7 linked regions of the Macaca mulatta genome follow. The protein of the gene in region 3 purifies or fractionates together with the protein of the main gene of each other region. This does not show direct contact. Links are inferred from orthologs where the notes say so. Each region holds a gene or a part of one and is shown on either strand. Other genes may lie near its edges.

The links.
Region 1: the proteins of SINHCAF (region 3) and SUDS3 purify together in Homo sapiens (affinity purification with mass spectrometry; 3 studies listed by BioGRID and IntAct, counting the BioPlex papers as one, with this or other methods). This does not show direct contact. The link is inferred for Macaca mulatta from reciprocal best matches to the Homo sapiens genes SINHCAF and SUDS3.
Region 2: the proteins of SINHCAF (region 3) and TNRC18 purify together in Homo sapiens (affinity purification with mass spectrometry; 3 studies listed by BioGRID and IntAct, counting the BioPlex papers as one, with this or other methods). This does not show direct contact. The link is inferred for Macaca mulatta from reciprocal best matches to the Homo sapiens genes SINHCAF and TNRC18.
Region 4: the proteins of SINHCAF (region 3) and ARID4A purify together in Homo sapiens (affinity purification with mass spectrometry; 3 studies listed by BioGRID and IntAct, counting the BioPlex papers as one, with this or other methods). This does not show direct contact. The link is inferred for Macaca mulatta from reciprocal best matches to the Homo sapiens genes SINHCAF and ARID4A.
Region 5: the proteins of SINHCAF (region 3) and SAP130 purify together in Homo sapiens (affinity purification with mass spectrometry; 3 studies listed by BioGRID and IntAct, counting the BioPlex papers as one, with this or other methods). This does not show direct contact. The link is inferred for Macaca mulatta from reciprocal best matches to the Homo sapiens genes SINHCAF and SAP130.
Region 6: the proteins of SINHCAF (region 3) and ARID4B purify together in Homo sapiens (affinity purification with mass spectrometry; 3 studies listed by BioGRID and IntAct, counting the BioPlex papers as one, with this or other methods). This does not show direct contact. The link is inferred for Macaca mulatta from reciprocal best matches to the Homo sapiens genes SINHCAF and ARID4B.
Region 7: the proteins of SINHCAF (region 3) and SAP30L purify together in Homo sapiens (affinity purification with mass spectrometry; 3 studies listed by BioGRID and IntAct, counting the BioPlex papers as one, with this or other methods). This does not show direct contact. The link is inferred for Macaca mulatta from reciprocal best matches to the Homo sapiens genes SINHCAF and SAP30L.

Annotation. Positions count from the first base shown.
Region 1 is NC_133416.1:125,665,819-125,670,081, forward strand, and holds the start of SUDS3 (sin3 histone deacetylase corepressor complex component SDS3), read left to right. Parts: upstream 1-1,463; 5' UTR 1,464-1,610; coding exon 1,611-1,752; exon of another isoform or gene 1,753-2,423; coding exon of another isoform or gene 2,424-2,457; exon of another isoform or gene 2,458-3,431; intron 3,432-4,263.
Region 2 is NC_133408.1:43,513,381-43,516,880, reverse strand, and holds part of TNRC18 (trinucleotide repeat-containing gene 18 protein), read left to right. Parts: intron 1-195; coding exon 196-312; intron 313-1,117; coding exon 1,118-1,282; intron 1,283-2,394; coding exon 2,395-3,500.
Region 3 is NC_133416.1:33,457,699-33,461,198, reverse strand, and holds part of SINHCAF (SIN3-HDAC complex-associated factor), read left to right. Parts: intron 1-2,007; coding exon 2,008-2,107; intron 2,108-3,415; coding exon 3,416-3,500. UniProt on the Homo sapiens protein: Subunit of the Sin3 deacetylase complex (Sin3/HDAC), this subunit is important for the repression of genes encoding components of the TGF-beta signaling pathway.
Region 4 is NC_133412.1:131,497,176-131,500,617, forward strand, and holds the end of ARID4A (AT-rich interactive domain-containing protein 4A), read left to right. Parts: intron 1-1,078; coding exon 1,079-1,182; 3' UTR 1,183-2,942; downstream 2,943-3,442.
Region 5 is NC_133417.1:9,247,305-9,251,514, forward strand, and holds the start of SAP130 (histone deacetylase complex subunit SAP130), read left to right. Parts: upstream 1-1,410; 5' UTR 1,411-1,603; coding exon 1,604-1,675; intron 1,676-1,962; exon of another isoform or gene 1,963-2,389; intron 2,390-2,469; coding exon 2,470-2,587; intron 2,588-4,210. UniProt on the Homo sapiens protein: Acts as a transcriptional repressor. May function in the assembly and/or enzymatic activity of the mSin3A corepressor complex or in mediating interactions between the complex and other regulatory complexes.
Region 6 is NC_133406.1:13,890,715-13,894,214, forward strand, and holds part of ARID4B (AT-rich interactive domain-containing protein 4B), read left to right. Parts: intron 1-2,856; coding exon 2,857-2,970; intron 2,971-3,500. UniProt on the Homo sapiens protein: Acts as a transcriptional repressor. May function in the assembly and/or enzymatic activity of the Sin3A corepressor complex or in mediating interactions between the complex and other regulatory complexes.
Region 7 is NC_133411.1:163,320,127-163,323,626, forward strand, and holds part of SAP30L (histone deacetylase complex subunit SAP30L), read left to right. Parts: intron 1-1,663; coding exon 1,664-1,786; intron 1,787-3,500.

The sequences.
Region 1 (4,263 bases), about 92 Mb from region 3:
TGCTCCAACAGCACAAAAAAAGAAAATGACTTCATCTTTTGGACACGAGACAGTTCCGAAATCCTAGTTTAAATATAGATGGCAGACCTGGTGAGATCTGAGAATGATTCTTATTTAGAAGGCGCTTCAGAAGATCTCGGAACTCCTGGAAAGACATCTTAGCATTCCATTCTGGAAATTCTTTAGTTTTGTTGGGACAAAAAATCCCTTACAAATAGAGCCAAGATTTTAATTAAAACAAGGTAGTAAATAAATGTCAAAATAAATGGGATGGGAATAATGTTTCATTTTTTAGAAGAGTCCATGGGGGCCAATTCAGAGAGAAATTTGATCACAAAAGGTCTGAGAATGGGAATATTCGGTTCCACCCTGGTTTTCACATGTGTTTTCACTACTGGTTGCGTTTCCTACGGAGACTCGGGTGGAACATGAAAGTGGGGCTACTTTGGACAAACCATTAAAAACCTTATCCTTTTTTCTCGCTACACACAACTAGACCACACTGCTCTTAGCTAAAGGGACACCTTAAATCTATTCTTTGAGCAAAACTTGTAACACCGTGTCCCTCTTTTACTCAGAGGGAATCCCACAAATTAATTCTTGCAGATACTCAGCTCTCCTGGTTTTTAAGCTTCCACGTAGGTCTTGCTTAGCCAAATAACTTCTGGTAGGCAAATTCTCCCCTTCTTCAGTTGAGAGCTCAGAGCAAGCTGTTGGATTAGGCAAAAGCACCTTTGAAAAAATTAATATTCAAGACAGCTGTACCGCGGAAGGCCTGGGTCTCCGAGTCTAAAAAATCAGACTGGACGTTGCTATTTTTTTTTAGGCAAACGACAGCTCGTTTCTCGTTTGTAAAACCGGGGGAACATCTTATCGAATAAACCTTACACAAATAGAAAGGATTCCTAAGGGCTGGGAAAATACTGTTTTGCTGTCCCCAGGATGGAATATCAGCATCCTTGTCTTTTAGCTCTTAATAAAGCTCTAAGTAGTCACAGGAGGAGCCAGGCTGCATGATCACGCACACTCTGGATGTCTAGGTTTTCAGACCTAACAAGGGGGCAGTTCGCGTGGTTCCCCTGCTTAGATTAGAGACCACCTCCACCTGCCAAGGGCCCTTCAAACCCTCCGCCCCTAGGTCGCTAACGATCCCTGCTTTAGTTCTAGCTCCAGGCGCCGCCTGGCGGCTGTTTCCGGATGTCGCCTGCGAGCCTCGGGGTCCTGATGGCTGCTGGGCCTGCCCGTAGATTTGCCTGACTCTAGAGAACCTGGCTCCGCCCCTCCCCCACTATACTTTAAGGATTTTAAGACGGCGATGAAAGGGCTGAAGTTGTGGCGACTGGGCGTCCAGCGGCATCTCCACTCCCCCAAGGATGGCGGAGTCAGGCCGTCGTCGGGCAGCTCTCGACCCGGAAGTCGCCAGCGGCGCGAGGCCCCGGTTGCCGAGCGCGGGCGCGGGGGGCGGAGCTCGGCGGAGACCGGGAAGGGGTCGCCGCGGCTCCCGCTCCTCGAGTTGGGGGCTCCCTCGGACGCTGCTAGGCAGACGGCGAGTACCGAAGGCGGGTGGCCGCGGTGTCCCTGGGCCACGCTCAGCTGCGGTCAGAGGCGACATGAGTGCCGCGGGGCTGCTGGCCCCGGCCCCGGCCCAGGCTGGAGCGCCGCCGGCCCCCGAGTACTACCCCGAGGAGGACGAAGAGCTGGAGAGCGCCGAGGACGACGAGCGCAGCTGTCGGGGCCGCGAGTCGGACGAAGGTGAGTCCTGCAGCTCTCCCGGCGGCCGGGAGCGGAGGTGGGACCGCTAGGGAGGGGGTGGGGCTGCTTGGGAGAGGGGCGGGGCGGCCTCTGGGGCCTGGGGCTGCGTGGAGGGGCCGCCGGGAGTTGCGGGACTCGGGGAAGTTACTCCCCTTCGCGCTGGAGTAGCGGGGAAGCCCTGGGTACGTTACACTTGACTGTGATGGGGAGAGGGGACTCACACGTTGTCACGCTGGGGGTCCCTTTAAGACCCCGTCCTCCCTCCCAGCTGTCTCTGATTGAACCTCACATCTTCACTAGTAGGAATGAGAAACTCATTTACTGAATGCACCGAGTGTAGTTCCCCCGTTTTTTGTGTCTGAGAGCATCAGAGTCCAAAGTTGCCCCTCCCCACCCCCGAAATGCGTGTCAGCTATGCTTTAGGTAGGACAGTATTGATAACTCAGGTTGGTTAAAGGAAAGGGACCTGGAACCAGCCAGATACAGGTTTAAATTTGGCTCTGTCACTTAACTCAGCTTTGTAAACTAAAGTTTTCCAGCCTCGATTTACCCAGCTGTAATGAAGCTGTTTAATTCCCACACCTGACCTAGAAAGCACTTCCTAGGGTCGGTATAGGGATTAAATGACATGCGCATAAAGTACTTGGCCTGGTACAGTAAATACTCAGTAAATGTTCTCCCCACCCGCCCCCCTCCCGGAAACAGGTAAGAGAGGGAGGGGTTTGCTTAATGGTCCCCAGGTGGTGTGTTTTCAGTCCCATGCTCTTTACACTGTCATCACAGCGTCTCAGAGCCTTGCTTTTCAAACTGAGCTTTATAATTTGGCAAGTGTGAGGACGCTATTTTGGAGGGATGGAGGAGGAGGAAGGTGATGAAATATGAAAGATCAAGGGAGAAGAAAGAGGAGATAAAGAGAGATCTATATGTGAATGGAATATTCTGGGACAAAATCGGGCCGTGGAGCAAAAGCTAGACCAGCTGTTTGGAAAGGTGCATACGTTTTATTCATCTGAATTTCCCGAGTGCCAAGTAATGTGGCTGACCATGACAGGAACTCAGGGAAGGCCTCTTAACTGAAGGAGGGGAGAAGGGTTTGTGGGGAATTGGATCTGCAACAGCCTTACAAAAGACAGCTGCATATGCATGACATGGAAAGTTGAAGGACTGCATTCGGTTTAACTCCATCCGAAGACAAGGCTTAACCAGAGATTTTGAATGTGAAGCACTTGCGCTGCATCTCATCCCCACGAGGGGGCGCGGTGGAGCCAAAATTGAGGGTTTTTTTTTCCTTGCAGTATAGGGGCTGTTAAAAATTTGTAGACACCCCAGCCATTAATGCTTGTTCTAAGAGCAATGTTTAAGATGTTTTGAAACAATTTTCGTTTGATCATCTGGCCTCCTCCTTGTTCCCTTTAGTTGTAACTTGGAAAATATTTGTGTCAGATTACCTTTTTTATTGTATACAGTTGGCGCTCCATGTCTGTGAATTCTACATCTGTGAATTCAACCAAGCGCAGCTCAAAAATATTCCGGAAAAAATTGAATCCGTACTGAACATGTGCAGACTTTTTTTGTTATTCCTAAACAGTGTAGTGTAACAACTACTTACATAGTATTTACATTTTATTGGATATTGTAAGTAACCTTTTTTTTTTTTTTTTTTGAGGTGGAGTCTCACTCTATCACCCAGGCTGGTGTGCAGTGTCACAATCTCAGTTCACTGCAACCTCCATCTCCGGGGTTCAAGCAATTCTCCTGCCTCAGCTTCCGGAGTCGTTGGGATTACAGGCACCTGCCATCATGCCTGGCTAATTTTTGGGGTTTTATTTGTTGTTTGTTTTGTTCTTTTTTTTTTTTTTTTTTTGAGATGGAGTTTCGCTCTTGTTGCCCAGGGTGGAGTGGAGTGCAGTGGCGCGATCTCAGCTCAAGCCATTCTCCTGCCTCAGCCTCTCAAGTAGCTGGGAGTAGCTGGGATTACAGGCATGCGCCACCACCCCCAGCTAATTTTGTATTTTGAGTAGAGAGGGGGTTTCTCCATGTTGGTCAGGCTGGTCTCAAACTCCCGACCTCAGGTAAACCACCTGCTTTGGCCTCCCAAAGTGCTGGGATTACAGGCGTGAGCCAATGCACCCGGCCTTAACTTTTGTGTTTTTAGTAGAGATGGGGTTTCTCTATGTTGGCCAGGATGGTCTGGAACTCCTGGCCTCAGGTGATTCACCCGCTTTGGCCTTCCAAAGTGCGGGGATTACAGGCATGAGCCGCCATGCCTGGCCTGGATATTGTAAGTAATCTAGAGATGATTTAAAGTGTACTGTTGTCCGGGCATGGTGGCTCATGCCTGTAATCCCAGCACTTTGGGAGGCCGAGGCAGGCGGTTCAGTTGAGGCCAGGAGTTCGAGACCAGCCTGGCCAACATGGTGAAACTCCGTCTCTACTAAAAATACAAAAATTAGCTGGGCGTGGTGGTGCACCCCTGTAATCCCAGCTATTTGGGAAGCTGAGGCAGGAGAA
Region 2 (3,500 bases), on a different chromosome or scaffold from region 3:
GAGAGCCAGTTCTCCTGCCCAGATGGCCTGGCTCTAACACCCACATTCTGAGCCACTGTAAACCCTCACCCATGTCCCCACTGCTGTACCATAGAGAGCAGGGCTGCACAGGGGCCGGTTTCTGCTGTCCCCACCCTTGTGCCTCACTAGGGAGCTGGAGGTCCAAGGGCCTCCCCTGAGCCTCTCCTCCCACAGGGTTACTGGACCTGGAGGACGATGGGGACTTGATCACTGTGGAGTTTGACGACGGAGATACTGGCAGGATCCCCCTCTCACACATCCGCCTCCTGCCCCCCGACTATAAGATCCAATGTAAGTGACAAGCTTGTGACACCCGGGCTCCTGCCAGGGGCCGCCCATCCAGGCTCTCGCCCTCCAAGCCCAGCTCTGGGCTCTGTCTGAAGTCATTTGGAGCCATAGGTGATGGAAGTAGCAGAAACCATGGATGGGCTCCTGTGAGATCCCAGGGCTCCCAGGTCCTGGGTCCATGAGGACAGCCCAAGCCCAGTGGCCCAGGCCATGGGAAGCTGATCAAAAATTATTAATGGCCGGGCGCAGTGGCTCACACCTGTAATCCCAGCACTTTGGGAGGCCAAGGTGGCCAGATCACAAGGTCAAGAGATCGAGACCATGCCGGCCAATATGGTGAAACCCTGTCTCTATTAAAAATACAAAAATTAGCCAGGCGTGTTGAGACGCGCCTGTAGTCCCAGCTACTCGGGAGGCTGAGGCAGGAGGATCCCTTGAACCCGAGAGGCAGAGGTTGCAGTGAACCGAGATCCTGCCACTGCACTCCAGCCTGGCGACAGAGCAAGACTCCGTCTCAAAACAACAACAACAACAACAACAAAAACCAAAGTCAGCATCTTTATCCACCTGTCCCAGTTCCACAAAGTGCTTTGTTTTACTTCATTCATTCAGGGGCCTCTGGCTGCTCCCTGCAGATGGGATTTCCCCCGCTGGACCTCACAGCCTATCGTGGGAGCCCACCCGGGGTCAGCCACCCGGCGTTGGTTGCTTCCGCCCCCATCCCTGATCCCCAGGACAGACCAGGGTCTTGGAAGCTCCAAGCTGGGGACCCCAGGCCTGATGAGCCACTCTGTCCTCTGCCCTGCAGGTGCTGAGCCATCCCCAGCCCTCCTGGTGCCGAGTGCCAAGCGCCGTAGCCGGAAGACCAGCAAAGACACTGGGGAAGGCAAAGACGGTGGTACGACTGGGTCGGAGGAGCCAGGAGCCAAGGCCCGTGGGCGTGGGCGGAAACCCAGCGCCAAGGCCAAGGGTGGTACGTTGAACCGGACCCCAGGGCAGGGGCGGTGGGTAGAGCTCCTTTGTGCATCCAAACTCGGGGCTTGAGAACCTGCCCAAGTGCCTACCTGCTGTCTGTAAGAACTCTGAGCTGGGTGCGGTGGCTCACGCCTGTAATCCCAGCACTTTGGGAGGCCGAGGTGGGCAGATCGCCTGAGGTCAGGAGTTTGAGACCAGTCTGGGCAACATGGTGAAACCCCGCCTCTACTAAAAATACAAAAATTAACCGGGCATGGAGGTGAGCGCCTGTAATCCCAGCTACGTGGGAGGCTGAGGCAGGAGAATTGCTTGAACCCGGGAGGTGGAGGTTGCAGTGAGCGAAGATCGCGCCATTATACTCCAGCCTGGGTGACGAGTGAAACTCTGTCTCAAAAAAAAAAAAAAAAAAAAAAGACCTCTGCACCTGCACCGCAGGATTGTTCTGACCAGGTGACAGATGAGGAAACTGAGGCTGAGGGAGGCAGGTTGGTTTGTCAGAGGCAGAGCTGAGCTGCAGCCGGCCTGTGTTTCTTTCCAGAATCCAGAGAAAATGCTTTGTACAGGCTGAAAGCAGAGGCTATTGGAGGACCCACTTTGGGGCCAACACAGCTTAAGGTTGTTATAGGGGAACCGCTGAAGGAGGCCTAAGAAGGCCGCAACCGGGTTCCGCTCAAGAAGTAGCAGAGCCAGGATTGAAACCAGGCCGTTCTGCTGGGCTCGGTGGTCCACGCCTGTTCTCAGCACTCTAGGAGGCCCAGGCACAGGGATTGCTTGAGCCCAGGAGTTTAAGACTAGCCTGGGCAGCAGAGCAAAACTGTATCTCTACAAAAAAAAAAATAATAATACAAAAATTCCCCAGGCATAGTGGCGCATGCTTGTGGCCTCAGGTTACTTGGGAGACTGAGGCTGGAGGCTCACGTGAGCCCAGGGAGGTTAGGGCTGCAGTGAGCCCTGATCATGCCACTGCATTCCAGCTTGGGTGACTGAGACCCCATCTCAAAAAAACAAAAACAAAACCCACAGAAGCAGGCCTTCCTGATGAAAGCCACAGCTCGTCTCTGCCAGGAAGCCCCCGCCCCAGTCTCTCATCTGTTTTCTTTTGTTTTGCAGACAGAGCCGCTACCCTGGAGGAGGGGAGCCCAACAGATGAGGTCCCCAGTACCCCCTTAGCCCTGGAGCCGAGCAGCACCCCAGGTTCCAAGAAGAGTCCCCCAGAGCCTGTGGACAAGCGAGCCAAGACCCCCAAGGCGCGCCCAGCACCGCCACAGCCCAGCCCCGCACCACCCGCCTTTACCAGCTGCCCAGCACCCGAGCCCTTTGGGGAGCTCCCAGCCCCTGCCTCCACCCTGGCCGCAGCACCCCTCATCACCATGCCCGCCACACGCCCCAAGCCCAAGAAGGCGCGGGCAGCCGAGGAATCAGGTGCCAAAGGCCCTCGGAGGCCGGGGGAGGAGACTGAGTTGCTTGTCAAACTGGACCACGAGGGTGTCACGTCACCCAAAAGCAAGAAGGCTAAAGAGGCTCTGCTGCTCCGGGAGGACCCAGGGGCCGGGGGCTGGCAGGAGCCCAAGAGCCTCCTGAGCCTGGGCAGCTACCCCCAGGTGGCCGGCAGCAGCGAGCCCAAGGCACCCTGGCCCAAGGCCACGGAGGGGGACCTCGCCCAGGAGCCCGGGCCGGGGCTCACGTTCGAGGACTCTGGGAACCCCAAGAGCCCAGACAAGGCCCAGGCCGAGCAGGACGGGGCGGAAGAGTCCGAAAGCAGCAGCAGCAGTAGTGGCAGCAGCAGTAGCAGCAGCGGCTCGGAGACGGAAGGGGAGGAGGAAGGCGACAAGAATGGGGAGGGGGGCTGTGGCGCCGGGGGCCGTAACTGCAGCGCTGCCAGCTCCAGGGCAGCCTCACCGGCCTCCTCCTCCTCCTCCTCTTCCTCGTCCTCCTCTTCTTCCTCCTCCTCATCCTCCTCTTCCTCCTCCTCCTCCTCTTCCTCATCCTCCTCCTCCTCTTCCTCTTCATCTTCCTCCTCTTCCTCCTCCTCCTCCTCTTCCTCGTCCTCATCCTCGTCCTCCTCCTCCTCCTCTTCCTCTTCCTCCACCACAGACGAGGACTCTTCCTGCAGCTCAGACGATGAGGCAGCCCCCGCCCCCACGGCTGGCCCTTCTGCACAGCCGGCGCTCCCCACCAAGGCCACCAAGCAGGCCGGCAAGGCGCGGCCCTCGGCC
Region 3 (3,500 bases):
GCGAAACCCATCTCTATAAAAAATACAAACAAAAAAACTTGCTGGACGTGGAGGTGCTTGCCTGTAGTCCTAGCTACGTCGGAGGCTGAAGTGAGAGGATCACCTGAGCCTGGGAGGTTGAGGAAATGAAGATACTAAAATAAAAATAAAATTTAAAAAGGAGTGGTTGGCACAGACCTTTTTGACAACCTTCAGAATAATTACAAAGTCCAGGATTAACAATAAACGATGAACAAATGTTTCGATAAGAAAAGGTGGTGAAAGTAATTTCTAACAGGGGAAATCATTATTTCTTTCTTTTCTTTTTTAAAGAGACAATGTCTTCCTGTGTTGCCTAGGTTGGAGTGCAGTAACTGTTCACAGGTGTGATCATTGTGCATTACAGCCTTGAACTTTTGGGCTCAAGTGATCCTCCTGTCTGAGCCTCTCGAGTAGCTGGGACTACAGGTGTGCACCAGCAATATAATTGTTTGTTTGTTTGTTTGAGTCAGAATCTCACTCTGTCACCCAGGCAGAAGTACAGTATCACTATCATGGCTCACTGCAGCCTTGACCTCATTGGCCTCAGGTGATTCTCCCACCTCATTCTCCTGAGTAGCTAGGACTACAGGCATGCACTATCATACCCTGCTAATTTTTCTTATTTTTTTGTAGAGACAGGATTTTGCGATGTTGCCCAGGCTGGTCTCGAACTCCCGGCTGCCTCGGCCTCCTAAAGTGCTGGGATTACAGACATAAGCCATCTCGTCTGGCCATTTTCATTTTTTAAAACTACAATCCTTCTCTGGTTTTGTTTGCTGTGAAACTAGAATATTATGACACATTATTTTACTTGCCAAAGGGTAGCATTTTGATACTTATGAAATAACTACACAGGCCGGGTGCGGTGGCTCACACCTGTAATCCCAGCACTTTGGGAGGCCAAGGCAGACAGATCATTTGAGCCCAGGGGTTGGAGACAAAGCCTGGGCAACATGGTGAAACCCTGTCTCTACAAAAAATAGAAAAATTAGCCAGACGTGGTGGCATGTGCCTGTGGTCCCAGCTACTAGGGAGGCTGAAGTGGAAGGATCACTTGAACCTGGGAAGTTGAGGCTGTAGTGAGCCATAATCCCACCACTGCATTCCAGCCTGGGTGACAGAGTGAGATCCTATTCACCTCCACGCCCTCACCAAAAAAGAAATATATCTACACATTGCAAGAAAGATTGATTAAACAGCATTATTTAAAACCATGATAATCAGAATCTCTTTTAGGTCTTGAGTTTTACTCCTTAATTTTAAAAGCATTTTTAAATTAAATTTCTTTTTTTTTATTTTAAAGTAGAGATGGGGGTCTCCTTTTGTTGCCCAGGCTGGTCTCGAACTCCTGCACTCAGGTGATCTTCCCACCTTGGTCTTCCGACGTGCTGGGATTACAGGTGTGAGCCACCGCACCAGCCTATTTAATTATTTAATTTTTTTTTTTTTTTTGAGATGGAGTCTCACTCTTGTTGCCCAGGCTGGAGTGCAGTAGTGCGATCTTGGCTCACTGCAACCTCTGCTTCCTGGGTTCAAGCGATTCTCCTGCCTAAACCTCCTGAGTAGCTGGGACTACAGGTGTGTGCCAGCAGGCTAATTTTTGTATTTTTAGGAGAGACACAGGATTTCATCATGTTGGCCAGGCTGGTCTCGAACTCCTGACCTCAAGTGATGCACCCGCCTCAGACTCTCAAAGTGCTGGGATTGCTGGCGTGAGCCACCACACCCAGCCTGGCCTATTTAATTTTAAAAGCATTTCTTATTTCAAAATAACCAAATTGCAGTACGTAGAATTGGTTTGTTGAATCTAGAAGATAATTTTATTTCTGAAATATTCTATAGAAACAATGGAATGGGATCATCCAGGATGATTAAATTGTATCTATAAACCATATATAGATACAGTTTTTTTCCCAAAGGAAATGTGCTTGCTTGAATTCTTTAAGGTAAGGGAGACTGATAAAGGTTTGATTGTTTTCTTATCAGATTGCATGAGACTCGTTCAGGAGACATCTGCAATGCCTGTGTCCTGCTTGTGAAAAGATGGAAGAAGTTGCCAGCAGGATCAAAAAAAAACTGGAATCATGTTAGTCCATTTTCTTTTTTTCAATTATACCTCTATTATATTTAAAGTAACATTAATTTCCCCCTAATTTAGGAAGTAATATATCCCTAGGGTAGAAAAGTCTGAAAAGAATAAAGAAAAACACTAGCTGCTGCTCAGATATAATTGCCTAACATTTTGGCATCTTTAGAACAGAATAGCCTGGTATGGCATTTCCTTAAGACTGTATCCAATATCTCCCTTTTGGAGATTCACAGTAAGCATTCACCTATTTTTAGGCTTAACTCAGTAATTCCTAGAGTTAATTAGATGTGAATCCTTTTTCTTAAATCTCTTTGGATAACATCATCCTTTGAACTCAGGTTGGTACTAATGAGCACATAGATTTTAGGATCAGACTTGAATTTGAATTTTGCTTTTACCACTACTAGTTGTGGACTTTGGGCAGGTTACATTTATTTATGAAGTGCAAAGATAATAGCTCTGTTACAGAGCAGCTGTGAGAACTGGATGAGATGATATGTAGAAGGTATAACACATAGTTATCATTCACACTAGCCTTACATTGTCCTTTGATAACAGTGTTATGCTATTATAATAGGTCATGATTTTGAAGATGGTAACAACGTTCCTTTTTACATGGGGTAGAAATCTGCAACTAATAAATGTGAATGAATACCTAAGAAACAGGGCCATATGGGGCGAGATCAATGGCTGGGCTAGACTGTGGGAGAACATGCTATTGCTGTCATATAACTCACCTCAGAGATTAAGGTGTGTAGTGAAAAAAGCATAAAGACCTGAAGACCTTGATTCCAGTCTTTTCCCCTCTCCACCCCTCTTAACCCATTTACTTGCTTGGTAAAATAAGGCAAAATGCATAATTTCTCTTTGCCTTGTTTTCCTTCCGTCTAAAATTGGAGTAACAAAAATAGCCCTGTTTATTGCTTTGTATTGAAGATAAAAAGTATTTGAAAGCTTTTCATAAACTGCAAAACATTATCCTGTAGAAATGGAGTTGTTTTTAGGTTTGATTCTTAACCTAGTTGGGTCATCCAGTAACGATTATCCCATATACAAATCTATTTAAATTTTTTTCCAACAGACTCCCACTATTACCCACTTCACAGGAAAGAGTATCTTAAAAAACCCCACTAGATAAATATTATTTATTCCCTTATGTCATGTGATGATTAAAGGTGCACATGGAGGAGTTTCACCCTCTTTTCAGTGTAAAACTGTGGTTCTCAAATAGGCACGGATCTGAACCAAAGGGATACACTAGTATCATTTTAAAAATATTATTAAATATTCAGTATTTTCTTCCAGGTGGTAGATGCAAGGGCTGGACCCAGTCTAAAGACTACATTGAAACCAAAGAAAGTGAAAACTCTATCTGGGAACAGGATAAAAA
Region 4 (3,442 bases), on a different chromosome or scaffold from region 3:
GTTCAGGCTGGTCTCGAACCCCTGTTCTAAAGCAGTCCTCTTGCTTTGGCCTCCTAAAGTACTGAGATTATAGGCATGAGCCAACATGCCCAGCTTATTATAGTCTTTTCCCCATTTTTATTTGCTTAGGTTTTCATAATGAGTTATTAAACTGAGATTTGAGTGATTTCTGGCATATATATAAGAATTTGTTGCCTGGGCATGGGGCTCACGCTTATAATTCCAGCATTTAGGAGGCTGGAGCAGGAGGATGGCTTGAGCCCAGGAATTGGAGACCAGCCTGGGCAACATAGCAAAATCCCGTCTCTACAAAAAATTAAAAATTTAGCTGGGTGCAGTGGCGTGCACCCATAGTCTCAGCTACTTGGAAGGCTGATGCGGGAGTGTCGCTTGAGCCCCAGAAGTTGTAATGACACTTAAATAAACAAAAATTAAAACTTCAAATAAAATAGGAACAATCAGGGAAAGATTGGCAGAAGACAAGAGTTTTGCAAGGAAAGAGAAGATAAAAGCAAAGAACTTAAAAAGTGGCAAAACATCTAATGCTCAAAGTACTGATCCCTAATCTGTGTTATGTCCTCCTGGAGAAAATTACATTAAAACCATTTGAGGACTTTTTGCTTATCACACATTACTTCCGTCCTGATCTCCATGATTCTGATACCTGTCAGAGGAAATCCTCTGAGTTAAGTTAATTCTTTTATGGTCCTATGACCCATAGATAAAGCAGAAATTCCCTATGGTTCTGTGTTTATCTCAGGTTGACCTTGTTTCTGATTGAGCTAAGTTCCTTCAGGGGATCCCCCAACTAGAGGTTTAAGAGTTTTTGTCTCTTTAATCCTTATATTTTATGATGTCTTTTAAAGTGTTGAGTAGTACTTAACTGACCAAAGACTAACTCTACTTAATTGAGCCAAACAAAATTTTTGCTGACAATTTGTTACTCCTTCATGTGACATATAAGAGGCCTGTGATTAAGGTGAATAATGTTAAGAAGAATTTTATTTCTAATTTGCTGTTAGCTAGGTATCTTTGTGTAACAGTTTTTGGATCTAACATAGTTGTTTTGATTCCACAGTGTCTCATGCGGGAGCCTCCATGTCATCTGCTTCATCAGACACTGGAATGAGTCCCTCATCATCATCTCCCCCACAAAATGTACTTGCTGTAGAATGCAGGTGATAAACATTTTCTCTACCTTCCCAGCAGTTTGCTGCCATGGACATAAATCCCCAGACCCTGAATTACAACCACAGAAAGCACTCAACTGGTTTGACATTGCTAAGTATATCCTGTATACTTTTCCAGGCCGGATTGTATCTATTCCCCTCTCTCTTCTTTTTTCTTGTTGCAAAAAATAAGCTGATTAATAAGTGAAGGTTAAGCAGCCTGCCATATTTGTCATAATTTTTCCTCTTTACTTTTTTTTTCATTTGTTGTGATATAGAACAAAGGGCACTTAGCAAATTTGAATTTGTATAATAAAGCTTTCAGGTGTTATAGAAATCATAGACAAGCAAGTGCACATGATAAACATCAAAATATTACCCAGCTGAATAGTTACTGCTGCACTTTCACTAAGATGTATTTGAACACTTGGTGAGTAGGGGGTTTATGTTGTGTTTTTTTCATTATTGTTGTTTTTTTTATTTTTGTGGAAGCACTTGCTATTTAGAACTGCCAAAGTATATGTTCAGCAGTGTGCCCAGGATTAAAGGTGTAAATGGGACAAAATAAATTGTGAAAGGAAGTGTAGTTGACTGAAAACTACAGTTGTAATAAGTCTTCCACTTTTTATAGGATTTTTGAGCACACAATTATGCAAATATTTTAATGTTTATTAATGTTTACAGTGGAATTGTGAATAAGTTTTCAGTGGACTATCTTATCCCTTGACAAAAATATTTTGTCTTTTTTCTATGTAATTTCAGAGTTTTTATTTTGTTACAAAAAGACAAAAATGAAATATATAACAACAATGAAGTTATTTAACAAGATTTCTAAAGCTGAAAATTTTGTGTAAAATAAGGTATTATCTTGCAACTTGTTAAATATATTTATTCAGACATTGGATGTTGTATTTTTATGTATTTTTTAAAATATTAATAAAATTGAAAAAAAGAAAATTCTAGGTTAATTCACTCTTTGGATGACAATAGCTCTCAGCTGTCCTTTTTACAGGAGGTTGCATCCTGCAGCCTTGCCTGTGTTAAAGGGAGTCTGTCTCAGTCCGTCAAACAGTATAGAACTATAAATGGGCATCTGGATCATTAAAGTATGTCCTTGTTTAGAAACTTTGGCAGTCCTAGTATTTAAACTGTTTTGAGGATCAAATTTTTGGTTGCCCTTAAGATACTTTGTCACAGTTTTTATGTTTGCTATACTGCCGAATGAATTTATATCTCCCAAAGTTGAGATGCAACAACTAAGTAAAGCAACTATGTATGCTTTGTCTGTGAATTGTTCCACAGACTGATACATTTTGTAAATAATTCTTCCAAAATCATGTATTTAAAGCAGTTTTGCATATACATTATGTAAAAAGGTGATTTTTTAAAAGCAATTTTTAAATTCATGTTTGTACATTGAAAGGGGTTTTTTTTTTTTAAACCTCCTTTTCTGTGTTTAATATGCTGTAGAATAATAACCTAGATGCTCTAGACTGTATATCAGGATCTGATTTACAAGAAGAAGTCAGAGCTAAACACTAGTGATGGCATAGCATTACTGAAATCATTGTTTCTTAATTTCATTTTACCACATTGTGAACTTGTGATTCAGATTCCATTTTCTCAGAGAATTAAAAACAAAAAAAGTACTCTTGTAAAATGCACTTTTCTGTCTTTTCTTTGCAAAGCAGAAGTATTTCAATGTAAAATAAAAATGGAGCTCAGTGGGCAGTATTAATAAAGGCCATGTTTTAAACATAGGCTTTATACTTTTAGTTTTATTTTAAGTGATTGCTTTTTTCCTAAGTGCTAATAACTTACAGTTGGAAAATCAGATGTCACAAAACCAAGCATTTTAGTATATTCTTCAGCCTTTACAATAAAATATTTCTACTAATTATAAAAATGAAAAAAAAAAAAGTGTCATTTAAATCCAGCTGGACCTAGGAGGCAACCTTAGATTTATACATTAAATATTTTAATGATTTCCTTCTGTAGCAATTCAATAAATGTGAGATAAATAAGTTATCAGCTTGAGTACTGTCCCTTCTAATTGATACAAATTTGGTCATGAAGTATTGGGATGTTGCTACAGAGAACAAAACTGTGTATTCATTGAATAGATACACACTGTTAAAATCCTTTTATCTGGAAGCTGGAAAGGATTATGAAATTAAGTGAATATTGACTAAGTATGACATTTCAAATATTGAGCATATTTTGAGTTTAGGTAAACTTTGAATAGATACCTCTTACATGTGACTAAGAAGGTA
Region 5 (4,210 bases), on a different chromosome or scaffold from region 3:
GGCCTCAAAAGATATGGCTATGTCTTCTACAGGCGCATAAACTCCAACCCTGAACCCCAAACAAAATGACAAAATAAAACTGCCCCCTTCAGCGCCTTCATAATCTGGAAAGTGCGCGCAGGTGCGCCCCGGCCGCCCGGAGTCCTGCATCCTGCCGGCCTGCTTTCACAGAGCCGCGCCCGCGCCGCGCCTGGCGGCTCCCGCCGCGCGTAGGCTGTGCCGACCGCGGTCCCCGGTGGGGACACCGAGTCCCACTCGCGGCGTAGGGAGGCGGGCACCGTCACGACACTGGTCCGGCCCGCGGATCCCTTGGCCGCCGCAGTTGGCCTCCATTACCCTTTCCCGCGCCGCGCCTCCCCGCGGGGAAAATGAAACCTAGTGCCCTCAGGTTGAGACACAGGGTGGGATCCACTGTCTTCTCACTTAGCCAAGAGAAAAGACAGAACCGACTTCAGACAGCAAAGGGGTGTGTTGCCCTGGCCGGGTCGCCTGCGGCCCCGCCCCGGCGCTCTCCACCTCCTTCGCGGCCCGCCCTCTTGGCTCCCGCGACTACATTTCCCAGAGGACGCCGCGGCTCCGAGGGGCGGGCCCGTCCGCTCTCCCGCTCACGACCACCGGCGACTGGCTGACTCGGCAGGGGGCGGGGCCTGCGCCAGCCAATAGACGGGAGGCTCGTTACGGCGGCGGAAGCAGCGGCGCTGGAGTGAGGGGTGGGGGGCAGAGTGCTAGCTCCCCGGCGGTGGCTGCGGGTCGGGAACCTGGGGACGTCGGCCCCGCAGACAGAGAGCGCGCGGGAGCGAGCTCAAGGCGGCGCGGCGGCCACTCGGCGCAGCACCCAGGTAATGGCGGGACGGGAGCCCGGGAGGGAAGGGGAGGAGACGAGGGGGCGGGGCGGCCGAGCCGGGCTGCAGCGTCCGTCCCGTTGCGCGTCCCCGGGGAAGGGCAGAGGATCCTCGTCTCCTGCAGCTCGGACCGCGGCTCTTTGGCGAGCTGGGCACGGCAGTTGGGCCGGCGACAGGGGCTGGGTGTCCTGTGGCGAGGAAGGGAGAGGCACCGGGAGGGGTGGGCTGACCCGGGCGTGGGGGCGTGGCGGACGTGGGCCTTGGCGGGGAAGCAGAGCGGTCGGGGGAGCGCGGGCGGGCGGGCGGCCCAGGGAGTTTGGCTCCTGGAGCAGTTTAAAGTGACTCTCCACATCCGGGCCCTGCGCCCGCCGCTTTCAGACCCTGGCCAAGGCGGGGCCTCCCCGCTCCCCGCCCCCCTCGCCGGGGGCGCCTGTCTTCCTCTGCCATTGGTTCAGCCTCGAGGGGTTTGGGCTGCCCCGGCCAGGCTCGCGCCTGATTGGCTGGCGGTCGGCGGGAGGGTGGGGCGGGTCCTGACCGTGTAGGTCGCTGTGGATTGGTCCTGGGCCTCCACTGACGCGCCGGGCGTGGGGCCAATGGGCGGGCGGGGGAGGCAGGGGCAGGTTCGGGGGAAGAGGACTGCGAGCACAGCGGCGGCCGGGTGTTGGGGGTGAGTGGGGCCAGCGGGGCTGGACAGCGGCGGGCCCCGGGCGCCGCCGCCGCGATCCCTCCCCGCGCCCCCCGAGCGCATCGCCGCCGCCGAGATGGGCCCTCCGCGGCACCCCCAGGCCGGCGAGCTAGAAGCGGGCGGTGCGGGCGGCGGGCGGCGGCTACAGGTAAAGAGGCACAGTGCTCGCCTTGTGGTCGGGTCCCCAGAACGCCCGTCCGCACCCCTACCCCGGAGACGGGGATCTCGCACTCCGAGGTGTCTGGAAATCGGCGTCCTCCCATCTCAGCGGGGGCTTCGCGGTGGGGTGGGGTTGCGGGCGAATCAGGGGAGATCGCTTGGCTCCTGGGGGAAAAGTGGGGGACGATTTTAGGGAAGATGGAGAAGGTGTAGGGTCCTCTGGCTCTGTGGGGGGTCTATGAAAGGGAAAGAAAAGGAAATCCGTAAATGGAAGCCTTTGCAGAAAAGCGTTGGAGAATTCCTTTTGCATCAGGTCTGAATGTAAAACATCCGATCCTTTCTTAGGGCTGGGTATCTTCCTCCGAATGTTCCTATGACATGCTAATCACAGTTCTGTTCACCTTGGTGTGAGGTTTGAGTGTTTCGAAGAGACATGCCATTTTCCATAAAACTTTACACAGAGAAATACACATGCATTGTGGTAATACCTGTCATGTGACTCTTGTACAGGATTCAATGGTGATTTTTTTAGCATGGCAATCCACAAGTATTTATGGAGGGTTATAGTACACGCCAGCTCCGTATAAACGATATTGGTAGAAAACTTAGGTAGTTTAGATAATGTCTGCATTTATATTGATCCTACGTTATTGTTTTTAAATAGATGATGCAACATTTGCTTTTCCGAGGGACTATCTCATAGGTACTAAAGATGCTTTAATTTCTCAATATTGATTCAGATCTCAGAATCTAGTAATAACCATATAACTGTATGTACTGCAGGTGGAAATGAGTTCTCAACAGTTTCCTCGATTAGGAGCCCCTTCTACTGGGCTGAGCCAGGCCCCTTCTCAGATTGCAAACAGTGGTACTGCTGGATTGATAAACCCAGCTGCTACAGGTGAGATATGTAATATTCTAATATATTTCTTCCAACTTTACGAATATTGCCAGTTTTCTAACTTAAAAATTAGCAGACTCCTTCTAGGATTTTAGTAAATTCTTATTTCTTGAATTTGAAGAAAGGGTATATTACTATTCTAATTTAAACAAGGCTTTTTTTCTTCCTGCTTTAAGCACTTCGTTCACATAGAGTACACATGCAACTTACAGCGAAGCATGCCTGTAAGAACTATTTTTGAAATGCATTAATATATTCATGTTTAATTAATGTCCAAGAGTATAGCATTAGTGCTGTGAGGGAGCCCAGAGTTGTTTAAGGAACAGATCTTGCCTTTTAGGAGTTTATTATCAAGGAAAATAAGTGGAAAACAAAGGATATGCAGTTTCCCTATGGTGTCTGTGGGGGATTGGTTCCAGGACCCACCTCAGATACCAAAATCCATGTTGCTCCACTTTGTGATGTAAAATGGTATAGTGTTTACATATTACCTGTATCTATCCTCCAGTATACTTTAAATCAGCTGTAGATTACTTGTAATGCCTACTACAAAGTAAATAGTATGTAAATAGTTGTTATTCCGTATTGCTAAGAGAACAGTGAGAAGACAAAGAAGTCTGTATGTGCTTAGTACAGATGCAACCATATTTTATTTTTCCCCCTGAATATTTAACATCCAAAGTTATTTGAATTCAGATCAGGGAACCCATGGATACAGAGGGCTGATTGCATACACACAGATAAGACTTGGTTTTTCGTCTCATGCCCTTTGAGTGCTAGAAATCAGTGGTTCTCAGTGACAGGTGTTTGGGGAGGTGGTTTTTCCTGCAGGGGAATACTTGGCAATATCTAAAGACAGTTTGGTTGTCACAACTCAACAGTGCTATTGGCATCTGGTAGGTAGAGGCCAGGGATACTGCTTCACATCCTACAAGATAATGGGAAGCCCCCACAACAGAGAAGTATCCAGTCTAGTCAGCAGCGCTGAAGTTGAGGAATTCCTTCAAATACTCTTTTTCGCTACGTATTAAGTAAATATGTGACATTGCAAAGTGGAATAAACTATTTTCTATTCCTTTTTCTTCACCACTCGATTCTGGTGTTCCTTATGGTAAATGATACCACTGTCTACTCATTGCTTAAACCAGTAGCTGAGGCTTATTTTTTTGCAACAGCATCTCATGCTGTCATTCAAGCGGGAGTACAGTGGCCTAATCACAGCTCACTGCAGCCTCGATCTTTTGAGCTCCCCAGCTTATTTTATTTTATTTTACTTTATTTTGTTTTATTTTATTTTTTTGAGACAGAGTGTCACTCTTTGGCCCAGGTTAGAGTGCACTGGCTCTATCTCAGGTCCCTTCGGTCTCTGCCTCCTGGGTTTTAGCGATTCTTGTGCCTCAGCCTCTGAGTAGCCGGGATTACAGGCATGCGCCACCATCCCTGGGTAATTTTTTTTTTTTCTTTTTTGTATTTTTAGTAGAGACAGGGTTTCACCATGTTAACCAGGCTGATCTCGAACTCCAGACCTCAAGTGATCCACCTTCCTTGGCCTCCCAAAGTGCTGGGATTACAGGCATGAGCCACCGCGCACAGCCACATGTTCAGCTAATTTTAAATTTTTTT
Region 6 (3,500 bases), on a different chromosome or scaffold from region 3:
AGATTTTAGAATGCTAGCTTTAGGTTTTTAGCAGAGCTTAAAAGAGATATGGTCTAGATCAAATTAGTTAATTCTGTGTTTTCTAAGGAATCTTGACTTAAAACATCTCTGTTTTAAAATAAATTAAAAATATACTTGCAATTAAATTGAAATGTTCTTTGCTTTTTTCACATTTATAAGTGTAACTACTATGATTTTATCTGTGCCATACTATCTCATGGAACTGAACTATCCAAACATGACTAATTTTCAAAATGAAAGAATCCTTTATTTCAGAATATTAGACAGGCTTTCAACAATAAAATTTTACTGACCAGGTGTGGTCACCACGCCTGTAATCCCAGCAATTTGGGAGGTCAAGGTGGTGGATAGCTTGAGTCCAGGAGTTCAAGACCAGCCTGGACAACATGGCAAAACCCCATCTCTACCAAACATACAAACATTAGCGAGCTGTGGTGGCACATGCCTGTAGTCCCAGCTACCTTGGGGGCTGAGGTGGGAGAATCACTTGATCCTGGGAAGGCTGCAGTGAGCCAAGATCACGCCACTGCACTCCAGCCTAGGTGATAAAACAAGACCCTATCTCAAAAAAAAAAAGGAAAGAAAAAAACAGGTTTTACTGTTACAGGTTTTTTGGGTTTTTTTTTTTTTTTTTTTTTTTTTTGAGATGGAGTCTTGCTCTGTCGCCCAGGCTGGAGTGCAGTGGTGTGATCTGGGCTCTCTGCAACCTCCGCCTCCTGGGTTCAAGCAATTCCCCTGCCTCAGCCTCCTGAGTAGCTGGGACTACAGGCATGTGCCACCATGCCCAGCTAATTTTTTGTATTTTTAGTAGAGATGGGGTTTCACCATGTTAGCCAGGATGGTCTTGATCTCCTGACCTCATCATCCGCCTGCCTCAGCCTCCCGAAGTGCTAGGATTATAGGTGTGAGCCACCAGGCCCAAACTATTGTTACAGTTTTTGAGAGGTTGTATCCTCATTATATGTTCCTAATATCTTACAAAAGATTAAAATTAACGAAAAAGAGACAGCTGGGCGCGGTGGCTCAAGCCTGTAATCCCAGCACTTTGGGAGGTGGAGACGGGCGGATCACAAGATCAGGAGGTCGAGACCATCCTGGCTAACAACGCTGCCGTTTTGAATCTTAATCTTGACTAGGTTAGTAATTATGGAATTTGAAAGCTACTCCTAAATTTAGGGTAACTTATATCTTTTTAGAAATAATTGTTTTTTTGTTTTATTTTTTGTTCTTTTGAGATAGAGTTTTGCTCTTGTTGCCCAGGCTGGAATGCAGTGGTGCAGTCTTGGCTCACTGCAACCTCCGCCTCCCAGGTTCAAGAGATTCTCCAGCCTCAGCCTGCTGAGTATCTGGGATTAGTGCCCAGCTAATTTTTGTATTTCGTTTAGTAGAAATGGGGTTTCACCATGTTGGCCAGGCTGGTCTTGAACTCCTGACGTCAGGTAATCCACCTACCTCAGCCTCCCAAAGAGCTGGAATTACAGGCATGAGCCACCACGCCCTACCAGAAATAAATTCTTAAGCACCTATTTCACATGGCCACATTTTAATACATTTACTTACTATGAATATTGGAGAGTCCCCACTATATCACAAGTTAAAACGTAAGTTTTGCTATTTAGATGTAGTTTTTTCCTCTTAATTTACTCTACATTGAAGGTTTTTATTTCTTAGCATCTGAGCACTTTAGAATTCAACTCTTTTGGAGAGAAACCTGACAATTATGACTCTGTGCCTCAGTATGGTCAATATCTACGTCTCCTTTGTGTTTCACTTAAATTGTTATATTAAAATGACTTTAGGTGGGTTCACATACTTGGTGTAAAAAATAAAAAAGAAATAAATATTAAAAATTTAAAAAGGTATTAGGAAAAGTTATAAGTAAGATTATATGACCTATTTTTAAAAAAGGAAGTTGCAGACAGTTAATTACTTGTCCTGTTTTTGACCAAGGAAGTTAGGTTTTATACACAGAAGGTTGATTTAGTGTCTGACATTGGAACTGAATGGAGATAGTACTTTATTAGTCTCTGGAGAAAAAAAGCTTATTTTATACAGTCTGAGAGATAACATATATGAATTAGACAGAAGTATAGCAGATGCTAAGGAATAGAAAAATGCTACAGTTGAGAGAAGTGATTCATCAGTGAAGCCTGGAACATCTTAGTGAAGATGTAGGACTTGGGCTAGTCCTTGAAGAAAAGGGAGACATTTATTTGTAATGTTTTGCAATAATTTCCCACCAAGAAGATGAGACACTTTTTAGAACTACTATGTTGAATTTGTAAATGGTATGTGTGTTAACCAGACAGCGTCCTGGGAGCTTAGTTATTTTTGAAATAAATTGGTTAAAAAAAAACCAAGTGTGAGTTACTGCTAAAATTTACCCCATTAATATCATTATATCATTTTAAAAATTATGTTAATATAAGACATAATGTCATTAACATTTTAACCTGTGATTAAGTCTTTATATTTTGGTTTTATTGAATCTTAACAAATTTCAGTTTTTATTTTCAGCATATGCTTGTTTTTTAATTACTAGGCTCATAAACTCCCAGTACTATATTAAGGACTATTTTCAATTTAGATCTGATTTTTTAAAGAAGGATGTGCATACTTTATTTCCCTTTTTTAAAACCCTGACTTTTATTATGTACAAGAATTCAGACTCCATTAATGACAGTTTATTAAAAACTTGTAATTTCTGTGACAATTTATAAATGTCATAAAGAACATGTAGTTTGGATTGTTCTATGCTTCTAAAATGTGAAATTAATTTATACCTAGGAAATGTTGGATTTTATTTTGTGTTACTTAATCCCTTTCACTTCATAGCCTGTACAGGTCAGAAAAGAGTGAAAGATGCTCAGGGAGGAGGAAGTTCATCAAAAAAGCAGAAAAGAAGCCATAAAGCAACAGTGGTAAACAACAAAAAGAAGGGAAAAGGCAGTAAGTGTGAAATATCTAATTTTTAAAATATAAAAATAATAGCTGATAATTTTCTCCCCAGTAAGAAAATGGTATTCAGGATATGGGATAGTACATTATTTTGATTTTGTCTGTACACTCAAAAAAAGTCACACAGATTCTGTAAGGCTACTTGCTTTAAAAAGAAAAAAAAAAACATGCATTAGGAGAAATACCTAATGTTAATGATGAGTTGATGGGTGCAGCAAACCAACATGGCACATGTATACCTATGTAACAAACCTACACGTTGTGCACATGTACCCTAGAACTTAAAGTATAATAATAATAATAAAGAATTTCTGCAAAAAACCCCACAGGTTTTCTAATCTTAGGTAAATTCTAGTTTTAAGCAAGTTGGTATTATTCAGCGGTGGTATTGATTGCTGATGAAAAATCAAGTAATCTGTTTTTGAAATAGTAGCCAATATACTATAAACATCAACATATTTGTTACCTTTGTGTTCCACAGTTATTTTCACTTGCTATAAAATGTATCACACATTGTGAAA
Region 7 (3,500 bases), on a different chromosome or scaffold from region 3:
AAACGGGATTGGGGTCAATGGGATTGTACTAGTGATTGCTAAATTCTCTTACAACTAGGATTCTGTTATTCTATTGTCCTGATCTGAAATCTCCCAGCCGAAGCTTAAGGAAGCCACCTATTCTCTCTGTTCTCCTATGAAGTTTGTTAATGTGAACTTGAGCAGTTGATCTGAGTGGTCTCGCCAGTCTAGCTAACGTGCAGGACCAGCTTCCTCTCAGGGATGCAGAGTGGGCTTTGTTGTGCTTTCTTCCTGGAGAAAAGCATGTTCAGTATTATATACATCAGCTAGGTGGGATTCTTAGGGACAGTGGCATGTGCTGTGTTCGAAAGTCCGAGTTGAATCTGACAAAGCTATCCCAATTTGTAACCACGTAAGTGGCTTTCATTAGCCTAAGCCACTTTTAGATATAGGAGATTTCCTATATTGGTACATCAACATTTTCCGAGTACCTCCCGTCTGCAAGACACCATCACGGTATAAACTTAAAAGTACTCATGACTCACTAATCCAGCCACATGAAAGTGATCATTCATCTGAATGAACAGTTTTCATTATTTTCTCCATGAAAAGGTCTGAATTAATTGATGCGATTTCCTGCCAGCTTACTTTTATCTTTAAGGATTTAAGGAATAAACTCAAATTCAGAAGTCTCTGCAGAACATTTGTGAAACAGCTGTTTCACTATCAACAACCCCAAGTCATTTGCCAGGCATTCAGTTTCTGTAAGGTTTTTCAATGGCTCCTCCAGCCAGCCATGGAGGATTCTTCATGTCTTAGCTGTTGCTGCCACCTTCACTTACCTCCATCCTGTATTAGAAAATCTGTAGTATCCACCTTCTTGTATGTGGTTCTACCTTGTAAGAATTTCCACATCTTTTTCCACTTTTCTTTGTGGATCAGATGTGAGATAATGCAAGAATTATAAATTGACACATAGAAACAAAGTTTTTCAGAGAGTTATTATCCTACAATAGTAGCTATTGTAAGTGTAAAAATAGAGTGTCCCAAATACCATTGCCACAGTCCCTTGTGTCCTGCTTTCCTCCTCCCCAGGACAGTGCATTCCAGCCCACTATAAGTTCGTGACTCCTACAGGTCTTCTGAAAATGTCGCATCACTCCCTGCTTCCTTGAGGGACTCTGTCTTGTCGGAAGGAAAGTCTAAGCTGTTCTCATGCCCACCGCCCAGATGCCTCACTTTTTCATTATGCTCCTACATTACATGGGCAGCCATCATCACCCAACTGACACTGTACCCTGGGCCTCCTCACTCTTTCTGTCATCCTCCATTGGAAACTCTAAAGTCTTGGCACTCCTACCCATCTGGAATGCTTCCTGTCTGCCTAAAGTCCTCCCTTTTAGTCAGGGCCCTTCACCCTGAGCATCTCTGTTGCAGGAATCTCTTCCTTTGCTGAATCTGTACCATTTACTGTTTTCACCATTCACTGGAGGCTTGGTGTATGATACGCCACAAAGTGTGATGTTAGCGTTCTCTTGGTGTTCTTCTGCACCTCAGTAGTGAGCTTCTGGGAGGCCTACATCTTGTCTTCTGTCTATCTCTCCAATGCCCTGCAATGGACGGAAGCCCCACAATTTGACAGATACCTGTTGCTGTCTCCAAGGAATTGGCCAACTCTGACTTTGATTTTTCTGTCCGTCAGGTAAGGCACCTATATATCTGTGATTTTCACAAAAATTTCATCCAGAGTGTCCGAAATAAAAGGAAGAGGAAGACAAGTGACGATGGTGGAGATTCTCCCGAGCACGACACTGACATTCCTGAGGTAAAGGTCAAAGAAATCAATTTGCGGAAGCTGGAAAAATGGATTCTAATCTGATCCTCACCTCTGGCCTGGTCTGCTTTTTGTATTAAGAAGTAATTTTAGTCCCCTTTGTTTTGCTGTGGATTATTTGAAAAGTGAATTATAGTAATACAGAATCTGAGAGCTAAAAGCTTGGATACCCACTGGTCAGACTGCCCCATCATTTTATGGACAGGCACAGAGAGCCAAGGTCAGGTATATAGTTTGGAGGCTCTAGTCTGGGGCCCTTTCCAGTAGACCACGCTGTTTTTCTGCAAGACGCCCCTGACAAATGCATAAATACAACCACAGTGTCACTTTTTAAAAAACCTTGTTTAAAACCTTTAGAGAGTGTGTAATGGTTTGGGAGAAGTCTCTTCCCCAGAAAATGAAGATGTAGGTCATCAGTTCATACCAGCTCTGATTTTCTCTCACTGGTTTCTTGACACCTAGTCCAGGCTGTTCCCAAGGATCCATTTCAAAGTTGACTAAACTGGACCTGGTTTTCTCAACTCTAGCACTGTTGACATTTGGGGTCAGATAGTTTTTGTTGTGGGGACTGTCCTCTGCATTGTAGGATATTTAACAGCATGCCGCAGCAGCATCCCCTCATGGGATTCTACCCATCACCATCCTGAGTCATGACAATCGAAAAGTGTCTCCAGACATTGCCACACCTCCTTTACAAGACAAAATCGTCCTGTGTTGAGAACCACTGCGCTAGACCATAAGACCTAGGCTTCTCAAACTGGAAGGCCGCCTTCCCTTCAGGTGCCTGTGTCTATTAAGTGAGGCTTCAGGAAGGAATATTGGATTTTCTTTCTACTAAATTGTTTTCACTCAAGACTCAGCAAAAGAAGAACCGTTTATAGTGTACATTGAATATTTGACACATGAATATTTCATAAGGCAACCGCCTGTTAGCACTCAGAGTGAAAATGACTGTGTAGGAATAGAAAGAGTAGGCGGGCCTTTGTCTGCAGATGTGGAGGAAACCGTTGAAAATCTGGCCCTTTCCCTCTGCCCCTCCCTGTGTCCCCTTTTCCAATGTTGGTTTACAGAATCTTGCTGTTGCTTTTAGCATTATTGTTATTTTATAAAGAAATGGATGTATTCGATTTCTAAGTGGTTTTCACCAAAAAAAAAAAAAAAAAAGGTTTTAAGGAATGTTTTGAAAAGAATGAAGGACTTTGGCCCCTCATATTGATCATTCATTTTGTTTTTAAGTGCTCTCCACCTGCCTGAAGCAAGAACAGCTCTTTTAGAGGCAGGTAAAGGCAGCCCAACTTTATGGGCCTTCGATTTTTCATGACTATGCAGCTTTCCTCTCTTCCTTTGTTAGAAACAAAAAGGGGGGGTCCCTTCCCCTCTGTTATCCAGTCATCTGCAAAGACCCCAACCCTAACCTGCTGGTTTGCACATTCACTACAGTAACTTTTGAACTTTCTCTGGAGGGAGGTTAAGGATTCTAACACCAGAAGGCTGGGCCTAGGAAAGGGCTATTTGAGGATAACAGTTCTTCCCACTGCCCTCCTTTGTGCCCCTTTATCTGGTCGCTGCCTCGTTCTGGCCTATCTTCCTCCAGGATGTCTCTGGTTTTTGCCTTTGCTCTCCATCTTTGGTGTCCCTTCTAACGTCACTGCCTCTCCAAAGCTCAACCTCTTTATCTCATTCTGCTTGTTGCTATAGCATCTCC